Schizosaccharomyces pombe: one gene and its partners. Changing the gene in region 2 together with the main gene of any one other region gives a genetic interaction. Each region holds a gene or a part of one and is shown on either strand. Other genes may lie near its edges. The genes, in order: med13, rxt2 and gmh6.

Region 1 (3,759 bases), on a different chromosome or scaffold from region 2:
TAGAAGATGAAAAAAAATCGTGATTATACTCCATTGTAAAATCTTGTTGTATAAAGTTTGTAGAGCAGATGTCTTCATCTGTACTAGTTACCGATTCAGCGACCGAAAATGATTCAAATAAATCTTCAGTTGACAAAGAAGGAGAAGGGCACCAATATTTACCACCATAGTTATACTTCTGAAAAATACTGGAGATAGACGAGGGAAAAATTACCGCAGAATAGTATGAAGGCATATACGCAGATGTAGGGATTTTAGAATCTGAAATATTTAAAGAAATTTCAGGAATATCAACTTCGACGTTGTATGGATTTAAATCTTCGGTTACCATTCTATCATCCGATTGAATTTCCATTTGCTTTGGAATATTTTCGTGAGTATTCAAATTTGGACTGGTGTTTGATTGAGAGATGGAAGTGTTGATTTCCTCATTATCTAAGGTTGTCATAGTATTTGCAAAATTAGGCTCAATCATCTCAACTTTTTCTTCAACGTTAGGTAAGTCAAAGTAATCAAAATCAGCCTCTGTTATTCCAACATCGTCTATTTCCTCCATTAGTATGTCATCTGAAACATTATGATCAGCAACAAGTATCTCTTCATTTACTTTTATTGAAGCAGGTGTAGATTTTGCAGAATTTATCGAATAATTAACGGGAGAAGAACTATGAGAAGGAACCAAGGTTACAACGGCATCAGCAGTCTCTTCCTTTTCTGTAAAACCTTCTTTTCTTTTATCTGAAGCTTCCGCTTCTTCATTTGCGAACTCAGTTAATTCCTTTTTATTGTTTACGACGTTTGAAGGGAGGACTAGGTTATTCAAATCTGTAAGGTTGCTAGATAATGAATCATCATTCATTCGAAGGGCCGACGTTTCCAAAAAGCAAAGTTCTAAAGGCCAGGAAAATTCTAATGCCGAAGATTCTAAGGTAACACCCACCCACTTTGAAGTAGTCGTAAGAGAGAATCCATAGCGGTGTTTCAATGCATCAACAGTTTGAGCAGATGCGTTGGCATGCACAGAGGTTAATGTTGCCAAACAACCAGTCGGGGCTAAACGAATGACAGTGTCTAACTTTTTAACCAAATTATCCACTTCCGACAAACGATATACCGTCTGCCTTGTAGGCTTTAAGTAAAATTCTATATGGCCTTTCGATAAGACAGAAAGCTGTAAATCCACAACAGGATATCCATATATGTTCCAGAGCTGGGTATCGAAAGAAGGGTGTAATTTTAAAGGAAGAAGGACACCATAAATTGGAACAAAGTTGTATTCTTTGCACAGCCAATACAACACCGTTTTTTTCAATCCTTGAAGAAAGTTTATATACAGGTCTAATAGAAGAGCTAATTCATCTTTTTGAAAAAGAGCTAATCTGGAAAATGCACCTGAATTAAGTAGCATAAAAGAAGATGATTCCTCAGGAATAGATGGAATGGCTTGAAAATCATATACAAAAAGTAAGTCATTCTTCGCGTGAACAATGCAATCCTGATTTCGTAGATAAGCTTCTTTGTCTTCTAAGAGGGAAGCAGCATCCTCATTGTCCTTTCGCTGAACCTGATACTTCGCATAATATATAGTGTTAGGGCAAGGCTGATCAGTTAGCTTTTAATTTATCATGTTATAATAGAAATAATTACAATTGTTTTAATACTAATTAGATGAACTCCATCATGTACCATGGCAGAGGATAATGGCAGATTATTATATAAGAGGAAGTAGCTAGCGTACACGCGTAAAGAAAGCACATGCGGCCACTGTCTCATTTTAACATATTTCTTAAAACACACCTGATACTTTTACTGTTAATAATAAAATAAACAAACATTAAACTAACGGTTTAGTATGCAAATAAGCATAAATGCTTCGAAATTGATGAAGGAAATATATACTGACATATAATGTTTATATTAATCCCGTAATGACCGCTATTTTAATAAAAAAAGAATGCTCCGCCTTAAATTCCTATCCTTACTTTACAAATAATTAAAATGAATGAAAGTGTAGCAATAAAGGTCCAACACAATTGCAACTCCTTCAGGTAATATGTATGAACCTATCCCTCAGTATAATGTTAGTTAAACATTACATTCCCTTAAGACTCCTCTTGAATGATGGTTTAAACAACTCATGAGTGATGGCATCTGAAAAGTGAACGAGAAGATTACAGAGAAATTGGGATTCCCCAATCAGTTTTAACAGATACACTCATTGCTTATAAAGTTATAATAAGAAGGAAAATTTTTAAATAAATAAACTAGTTGTCAAGCGTTTTTTACTCATCATCCGAATCGACATCAACTGAATCAGAATTTTCAGACGAACTTTTTTCGATTTCGGTTTCATCTTCTGACTCAGTGTCTAGAGCACGAGCATCAAAGCTGTTTTTAGAAAAGCCCAATTTTTTGGCGAACAAATTCAACTCATTTGCAAACTAAAACAGAGGATATTAGAACCTTTTGAAAGAAGTAATTAAGAAACATCGATATTGACTTACAGCATCAGTCCCATCCTTCTTGGGTTGTTTACGATTGGGTTCTTCGAATTCCAACTCTTCATCGCTTTCTACATCTTCAATCAGCTCCAGATCCTCTTCGGTACCTCCGAGTTCTTTAATATCATGGAGTAAACCATACGATTGCTTTCTTTTCCGATTCGCTTTAGGCTTTTCCAATGATGATTTGGGTTCCTTAGGACCAACGGAACTTTTATGTTTATCAATAGTTTTGTTTTCCTCTGTTTTGTTTTTTAGTGATCTAGCAGAAGAATTTTCCACAACTTTTGAATTTTTTTTCATGTCCCTCTCGACGACATCCTTGATATCTGAAAATAAAGACAAATCCATATTATGATTTATGTCAAATAAAATAAATACAATCTTTTGTCGAGTTTATCGATTATTAGAGGATGTGAAAATCCAACGCAAAATAGAAAAGTGTGTATGCAGAATTAATGCTTGGTATAGTAGAAACAACAGAATATTTTCTCCTACTACAATATAGGTAGAAATTTGAAGAAATTGCACGCTTTACCACTTAATCTAACAATTTCGCTAAGCACACTATTGATGGTATTGGTGTAAACTCTTTAGAATTAGCAAACTTAGTGACAAGTGAAAAGGATGGGCGGTCTAACAAAATTTTCGAGTTATTTTCATTCCATTTTCTCCCGCTTCCCTTTAATAACGTTTTCTAATCCTTACCCGGGCGAAAATGAAGATTACAAAACGAAAACAGTCATGTATTTGACTATGTGGAATTCCGACTTGAACTCAGAGGCTCTGGACGTTAATAGTCTTCAATGGCAAACCTGGGCAAAATTAAACGACCCTTCAATTGTTTTTTTAAATGTGTCTAACCACGCCTCTCCAGATGAGAAAGTACCTTTTATTCAAATTGAATCTCGAAAATTAGTCCTCAATCCATCTCTTTTACAATATTTTTTAAAGGATGAGTCAACACTGCAGCAAATCTCTCCTTGGATGAGTTTGCTGATAAATCAAGTAGAAACGGCAATTCTCTTAACTATGTATTTGGACAACGAGAACTTTTCTGAAATTCAAAAAAAATGGTTACCTAACATGTCTTGGCCTTTAAATATTATTAAATCAATCGGGTTACCTTCTCAAATTAAACGAAAAATTTGTCTTCAGTTGAACGAATCAACTCTTGATTTTGATGCGGTACGTTTAATAATTTTTGATAGCAGTTAGTCTTCTAGACCGAGCATTTTGAAGCATGATTTGTACTAAC
Region 2 (3,759 bases):
TCTGATGGTTTCAGGTTTTTAAAGATTGATGTTTACTTGAATATGTTTTGCGATAAATCCTTGTAATCTTGTTGTTTCAAGCACTTACATTGTTCTAACAAAAAGAAGGTTGGGCAATTTCACAACAAATAACAATTTTAATACTTTGGGGAAATGAAAAAGCAAAATAAAGGATAAGTAATGTATTAACATACAAATGGCAAGCACATGTTAGTCGGTTGATTGAACGAAAAAATATACAACAGTGATAAATGAAATTATGTAACAGCAAACGTAAACGTACTTCCCTTGGAAAGAATAAGTAGAAAAAAGTGTGGATAGAAATTAGGATAGCCAAAGGGAATATGTAAGTAGCAGTATCTCAAATTATAAGACAAAGTTTCTAATAGCTGGGGATGCCAAGCTTGAGAAAAAACCCAACGTTATGAAAAAGTAAAAGAAATAATTAAGTTTCATTGCAGAAGAAATCACCAAAGACGTTTTAAAAAAGGATAATTCTATTTTTATAATGTCGTAAAAAGGAATTGTAAATCGAATGGAATAAAGAATAATATTCTCAACGTTTTATTTTGCTGACTTATACGCTTCATCAGCTTCAAAATAATGAAATTGAAAAGATTGATGAGAAATCAATAAATTTTAGGAATTTGGTTTTCCATCACTCTCATTTTTAGACAAAACTTGGGTATTACCATTATAGTCTTCACCTTGGCAGTAAGCAATGACTTTGTTTTTAAAACGAATGGCCCGAAGAAGGTCCATGCGAACGTTTGTCCAGCATCTAATAAACTCCTTGCTTTTTTCCAAAGCTTCTTGAACTGTGATCGTCAATTCTCTACACTGTTCAGGAGAAATCCCAAACACTTCATGAGGTGGTCCTGGTAGTGATGGGTCATCACCTAAAAGTGCAACCATCAATTGTTCGAGATGAGCAGTATATTTGTGTTCAGCAGATATAATTTCAAGAGCAGAAGAAGCAAGGATTGATAAATAATTTTGTTCAAATATGGAAGATATAGCAGGATGTGTGAGCAAGTCTTGTGGTTTTGTCAGCGGTGACATGATCTCTATAATTTTTACTGAGTTAGCAAGCGATCGATGTATATGACCATGATTGGCGAGTGCTGATAACTAATATTTCAATTCAATTCATAATCAATCTTTGAAAACACAACACGAAATCTCCAAAAGCACAATGAATCAAAAAAATTGTATGTCTAACATAACTAAGTGTGTGTACGACTTACCAGCTATGTTTATATCGTTATATGGGTTATCATGGTCCAACCATTCCGGATCTATTCTCCTTCGAAAATGAGAGACAACTCCTCTTTTAGTATTACCAATGTTATAGTACTATAAAGTAGTGGTTAGCAGTTTACGATTCCCAATTACTCACACATACATCAATGTCTATAGAGGAGCCACTAGAGTTACCGACGCAACCATAATATACATTTTTCGATCCTTTCTTTCTTTTTAATCCACGATTTGTAAGTGCCTCTCCAATGGAAGAGTCGGAATCCGAGGCTATACGAGATGTTAGTGAAAATTATAAATCTCATTTTGACAATAATTACCATCAGAATCTTCAAATAACGCCTGCTTAAACCTTCTAAATTTGTTAGAAAAATACATAATACGTGACATTCATAAAAACCTACTCAATTTGTTCTTCAAATTGCTTCATGGTTTTTGGCACGTCAGATATTCATACTTACTCAATCCAGTACAAATTAGCGATTTCTATCGCATTATAGCGTTTACATAAAATGCGAAAATAACCTGGCGTAAGTTGGGTTACTTATTCAATTTATAAATAAATAGTATTGAAACAAAAATATACATTGTTTTAATCGTTAGAGGTAAGCTGCTAGTATTCTTGAATAATAAGAAAAATCCCTTTCCGCAGGTAGGGCCTGGTTTATTTTGCTTTCTCGATATTCCTTTTCCAATTTTTACATGGATGGAAAGACCAGCTTTTTAACTTAAAAAAATATTTAAAAAAAATAATTAATCCATAGAGAATAATGTATTATTATGGAACTTTTATATTCTCACACTTTTTCTCCTACAAACTTATGTCGTTATAATGAAACAAATTGCTATAGTTTTCTTGGAAGAAGTGTAAATATTAAAAGGAAATTTCCAATTCAAAGATGTGGAAAGCATTAAAAAACATCCTTCCATTCTATTGAAAATTTTAAACAATTTGAAAATACCTCGAGTTTGGATTTGCTTTTTTGAAACTAGCGTTCGTCAAAAATAATAAGTAAATAAATAAAAATTTAAAATCTCGTAAAATTCTTACCAATTAAAACCTACTTAGTTTTTAAGCAAAACAAATGAGCAGAATAGTTAAACAACATTTAATTTTTATAAAAAAAGGAACTAATGGTGACAATCATGTATAAAGTCAATGAAAAATATGGCTCATCTGTTGTTGTTAAACAGATTTCAACTCAAATGAAAATTTTAGGATGGTAGTCGCAATTAGAAATTAAAGACAAACACTTAATTGTAAAATCTCTCAATACTATATAGTTCATTCAATCGCAGACAGCTCGATTCCAGAAGAATGTATATGTTTTGATACGAATGAGCGAATACAAGATTTAATGGCCGTTGAAGATTTTATTAATAAGAATGAATTAGTAGAAATTTTTTAACATTTAAAAAGTAAATTCTATGTATTTTCCCTTTTCTATTGATGTCCATCGTTTGTTTGTATATTAGGTAGTCGATTTGTTTGTTTACATTCTCGCCAACAATTGGTATTCAAATAACCAGCTTGGCGCAGACTTTTCCTCTACCACAAATATTTACAGCATAAAAAAAATCCAAAATTGAGAGCCTAACTGTTGTTTTCGACTTCTTATCATGTCTTATGAGGGCCGTGAAGAACGACCTGAGCAGATTGCTGAACCTACTTTCGAAAATGTGTCGGAACACAATGAACATGATTCGGGATCTGCTGAGGCCCAGGTGGAGACACTGGAGGTGCCATTGAGCAACGAAACCGACAATGATGATGCCACTGAAAACGCTGTTCCTGCAGAAGTACAAGCACCTGAGGAACCCAAGGAGCCTGAAACAGTCGACAATATCGATCCTGCAGATGATGATCCAAACAGCGTGGCAGCTCCCAAGGTTGAAGAAAAAAAATCCAAGAAGAAAGCCAAGGATGAAAAACCATTGACCTACACCACTGGTGGGTATTTATACTGTCGATCCAACGGACTTATTCCGTAAGTCAAAACAGCATCCATTTATTAAAAATCAAACAATCGATTGAGTAATCTTACTAACCACATGTAGTCATGTCATGAAAAGGTATTTTTATATGCTAGAAGGCCCTATGTCTATGGATTTATTAGACCATTATTATAAAAAACACTTCCATGGTACTTTGCAAGGTAACCCAACGGAACCTTCCTTAGCTTCTGAGCAAATGCACGACTCTGATGCTGATTCCCTCTTCCAGTCTGCTAATGATCACCTTAACCGTATCGCTAAAGCTACTCAAGACTGCCGTGGTTTACTCTTTTACTCCAAATCTCAATCAACTAGTGTCCCAAGCGGAATCATTAATTTGGTAAGAATTCCTAATTCCCCTGATTTTTAGTTTTAACCGTGCTAACTGTATTTTCAGACTGATGCAGTATCCATAGAACCCGGTACTGGAAACAAATTCACCATCAATTTTAACAATGGTAAATCAGAAACACTTGAAGCCCTAGACCCAGAAAGTAAAAATAC
Region 3 (3,759 bases), 4.0 Mb from region 2:
GGATCGAACCAATCATGGCCTTGCTTTTCTGTGATAATCTTGCCATACTTTTCAAAATTTTGTGCACATGTCTGAAAGACAAAGCACCCAGCAAAATGAACACATAAATCACCGTCTTCATATCCCCAAGCAGGATCAGAAGAATCATATGCGTTTATTGAACGAAGAGTAACTAGCCCAACATGTTTATGCACAATGGGATGACTATATATCATATGAGAAAGGGCTTGTTGTTCGACAAATACACCATTATGTTCTTTATAAAGTGGTTCATTCCAAAAATCCAGCATCCATGTTCCTACTTCAGAATTCCTTATTAAAAAACTGCCAGCATTAATGCCATTAAAATCTTGAGCAATGATAAAATGTATATCATCAGGGTCTTGATTTTTAGGTGTTCGGAATCCTTCAGAGTCAATGCCAAATCCACTAAAATATTCGGTGTCGCGCAATAAAAGAGAATTTAGCTTTTCATGCTTCAAAATGTGATCAACCAGATTCAAATCACGATTCATAATTAAAGCATCGTGATCCAACCACCATACCCATTCAGCATCTGGATATTTTCTAATCACATTTTTAATCATGGGAATTTTAGCCCAAGGGGCAGGCTTGTCGCCAATTGAAGGTTTGTACTCATCTAAATCTAAAAATTCAAACTTAAAACCATGACGTTCTGCATAGTCGCGGCGATTTTTAATAATCGTTCTAATATAAGGATTTAAGGGTGAGGAAGGGTCATTTTGGGCATTGGAACCCATCAAAAGGACTATCTTAGAATTTTCAGGATGAGGATTAAGTGTGCTTAACTCTTGAGCTGTGGCAGTAACCGTTGGGGTTACTGTCGTAGTTTCTGTAACAAAAGACGTAGATGTAATCGTTTCGCTGACACTGGTGTGTAATGGCTCTGTGTAAACGATAGTAGTTGTTTCGTAAACTGCATTCAAAATTGAAGAATGTTCATTTAAGAAAAGTTGTACTTTCTGGTCGAGCCTAGTACCAAGGGTAGCATTCCACCATACTCCAGAAATAGCAATTATGCTGAGGATCACTGCTGGTATAACATAAGAATACCAACGCATTGTAAGTATGTAAGAGAAATTAGAATTGACCAATCCTTGGATAAATAAATATGTTCAAAGTAATGAAAAAATACCAATGATAATAAAAATGATAGCGAAGAAAAGAAAGAGCGGTGTAAATATCCTTCTTTAAAAATTGATGCAATAAAAGCTAAGATTTCTTATAAAATACTTAGCCTAAACTAAGATGTTAGATAAGTTCAGAATGTGAGAGGTAGATGTTCGTAGGCACTTCACAGCACACACATGCTCACAATAGCAGGCGAGACAATTTAAAGTACCTTTTTAATCTTATCGTTTACTAACACCAAAAAATATACCCTATTTACCCAAAGCAATAATCACCAAGTGTCCTGAAAGAGTGTATGTCAAATATAATGAACGTAGCGGTAAAGTGGAGATACAAGGTTTTATAGAGAGTGACCTATAAAAAATAAAATAAACTTTCGACCGATTCTCGTGTTACCATTCAGTTAAGTGCTTTAGAGGAAAGCTACTAAAACTTTTGATGTAGTTATAATGAAGGGAAGGAAAGCATGTACGCGTTGAAATTTAGTACATTTCAAATAAGTATATACGCTATGACTCACTATTCCTTATAATATATTAGCATAACTACACTACGTAATATGCGCTACGTTACAGTATCACTATATGCCATATGTTGGATTATCAGTTAAGATATGTTTATCAATAATTATATATAACTATCTTTATACACATGGATTCCCATTGTTAAAATATTTTAGAAAGATTATTAAATAGAGCTACATGAACTGAGGAGCGAGATTTAGTTATAAGCAGTATTAGTGACAGGTAACTATATAACCTACTTAACAGAATACCTATACTTATGGTACTTATATTATCTTCTTATTGCAATATAATAGATCACAAGGAAAACTCACTGCAGTACTATCGTTAAAACAGATACCAAAATGCATCGCTAACTTAATAAATATCGTAATGAAGCAAGAAGAATTCTCGATATATCAAACGTTTGTGATTAACGAGATTCTAAACGTTGTAAAACCTCGTTATACTTCAATTTTGATGCTTTTTCTTCTGCTGCATTGGCAAACATTTTTCTGAAGTGCTTGGATTTTTAAATTAAAATGCAAAGCGTCGCTTTCAATTTATCGGTTTCACTTTTTATTGTTGTATAATTTTTTGAGAAGAATATTAGTCTAACCTTTAGTTTGCACAATCGGAATGTAAGTATCAATAAATTAAGATTCTTTAATATATCTGTTGGAATCGTTCTTTTTTTTTTGGATGCACTACACCTTAAATTTTTAATATATATGCGATAATTGTACTCAGAAAAGCAAATGATAGCATTTTGGAATTCGCTTCAGACCTTACAGAGACTATTCAAAGTATTCTTGGAATTTAAGTTTGCAGCTTCGAAGAAAGTCGTAACTATTTTCTAGAACTGATTTTTTATTTCATGATAACGTTAAAATTTGCCCAGCAATAACTGTATTTTTGTGTACTTTACCAATAGCAATTTAGATTTTAACTAGCAAATCAAAGAAATATGGAGTTGTTGTCCTTCTCCATGCTTAATATTGCAGCCATATTTATTCTTTACTAACTCATCACCTAGCGATGTTTCGATTCCGTGTCTTTAGCTAAAAAATTGTTATGGTATAAAGATTCACGGATCGGCCGTTAAAATTATTCAATTACTTAACCAATAGAAAGGCCCCAGATTCGATTGCTATACCACTACATATTCGTTTACAATAATACAATATTACGGTTGAAGTATTTTTAAACAGCCAATCATTTTTTTTATTTTCAAAGCAATTTTGTTTAAGAGAATAAGACAGAATATTATTTCATAGTAAAAGTATATAATTATATTCTAATATACCGATATTGTAATGACGATAAATTATTTTTTAAACTAATTTATGGCATGTTGATAAAGCCAATGAAGGGACTGAGTAAATTGTATACCTCAAGCAAAAATTCGCTAAGCAAACGACAACTTCATCATAACCTGATGTTGAGTATGTTGTTGACGAGTAATCCCTTGTTTAATTTTTGTAAAACAACCGGATATCGGAAATATAGCAAAGGGATGAGAGCGATGGTACAAAAGTTGAGGTGCCACATTGGAACAATATTTAGTCATTATCCGAAATTTGTTATCCGTTTTTTAATTCCGGATGACATCTAAATGAATTGGGAGTTAATAGCCACTGACACGTACACTATAGAGTTAGTACTTGATTAAAAAAAAGTAAGAGAAATAGAGCAATCCTCAACCTTGTTAACTTTTCTTATGAGGTGTTAGCATTAATTCTTGTGTTCAGTCTTGCGCTCATGTCCGTTACTTGTGTAAAAATGTACGATATGTCGTCCCATATTAGTAAATGCCATGAATTATCATCCATCACTGATACCAAAATAAACGGTGATGATGAATTCAACAAATTCAAAATATCGTTATACACTGGTACTCATAGCTATTCTGTTTCCCTAGTGGAACATGTTATTCTCTTTCCTTCTCATATCTCTCGTAATGTGACGTCAAATTATAATATTCGTGTAACGAAACCAATCAGCAACCAGCCTTTCAATCAACCAATCACATAATACCTATATGGTCGAAAAATATGATAATATTGCTTTAAAAGTCATAATAGTTTTGGATGAGCGAGTTCAA

Evidence for each region.
Region 1: of rxt2 (region 2) and med13, changing one enhances a phenotype caused by changing the other (phenotypic enhancement), as found in Schizosaccharomyces pombe (2 studies listed by BioGRID, with this or other methods).
Region 3: of rxt2 (region 2) and gmh6, changing one enhances a phenotype caused by changing the other (phenotypic enhancement), as found in Schizosaccharomyces pombe (2 studies listed by BioGRID, with this or other methods).

What each region holds. Positions count from the first base shown.
Region 1 is NC_003424.3:3,096,979-3,100,737, forward strand, and holds the start of med13 (mediator complex subunit Med13), read right to left. Parts: upstream 1,690-3,759; coding exon 1,648-1,689; intron 1,613-1,647; coding exon 1-1,612. Other genes in the region: protein Noc12, read right to left, coding at 2,283-2,441, 2,505-2,852; mtx2 (metaxin 1), read left to right, coding at 3,129-3,689. UniProt on the Schizosaccharomyces pombe protein: Component of the srb8-11 complex. The srb8-11 complex is a regulatory module of the Mediator complex which is itself involved in regulation of basal and activated RNA polymerase II-dependent transcription.
Region 2 is NC_003423.3:451,350-455,108, forward strand, and holds the start of rxt2 (Clr6 and Rpd3L histone deacetylase complex subunit Rxt2), read right to left. Parts: upstream 1,697-3,759; 5' UTR 1,691-1,696; coding exon 1,665-1,690; exon of another isoform or gene 1,616-1,664; coding exon 1,581-1,615; exon of another isoform or gene 1,531-1,580; coding exon 1,406-1,530; intron 1,357-1,405; coding exon 1,248-1,356; intron 1,068-1,247; coding exon 640-1,067; 3' UTR 1-639. Other genes in the region: pleckstrin homology domain protein Meu6, read left to right, coding at 2,881-3,248, 3,319-3,595, 3,653-3,759.
Region 3 is NC_003423.3:4,408,107-4,411,865, forward strand, and holds the start of gmh6 (alpha-1,2-galactosyltransferase), read right to left. Parts: upstream 1,601-3,759; 5' UTR 1,083-1,600; coding exon 1-1,082.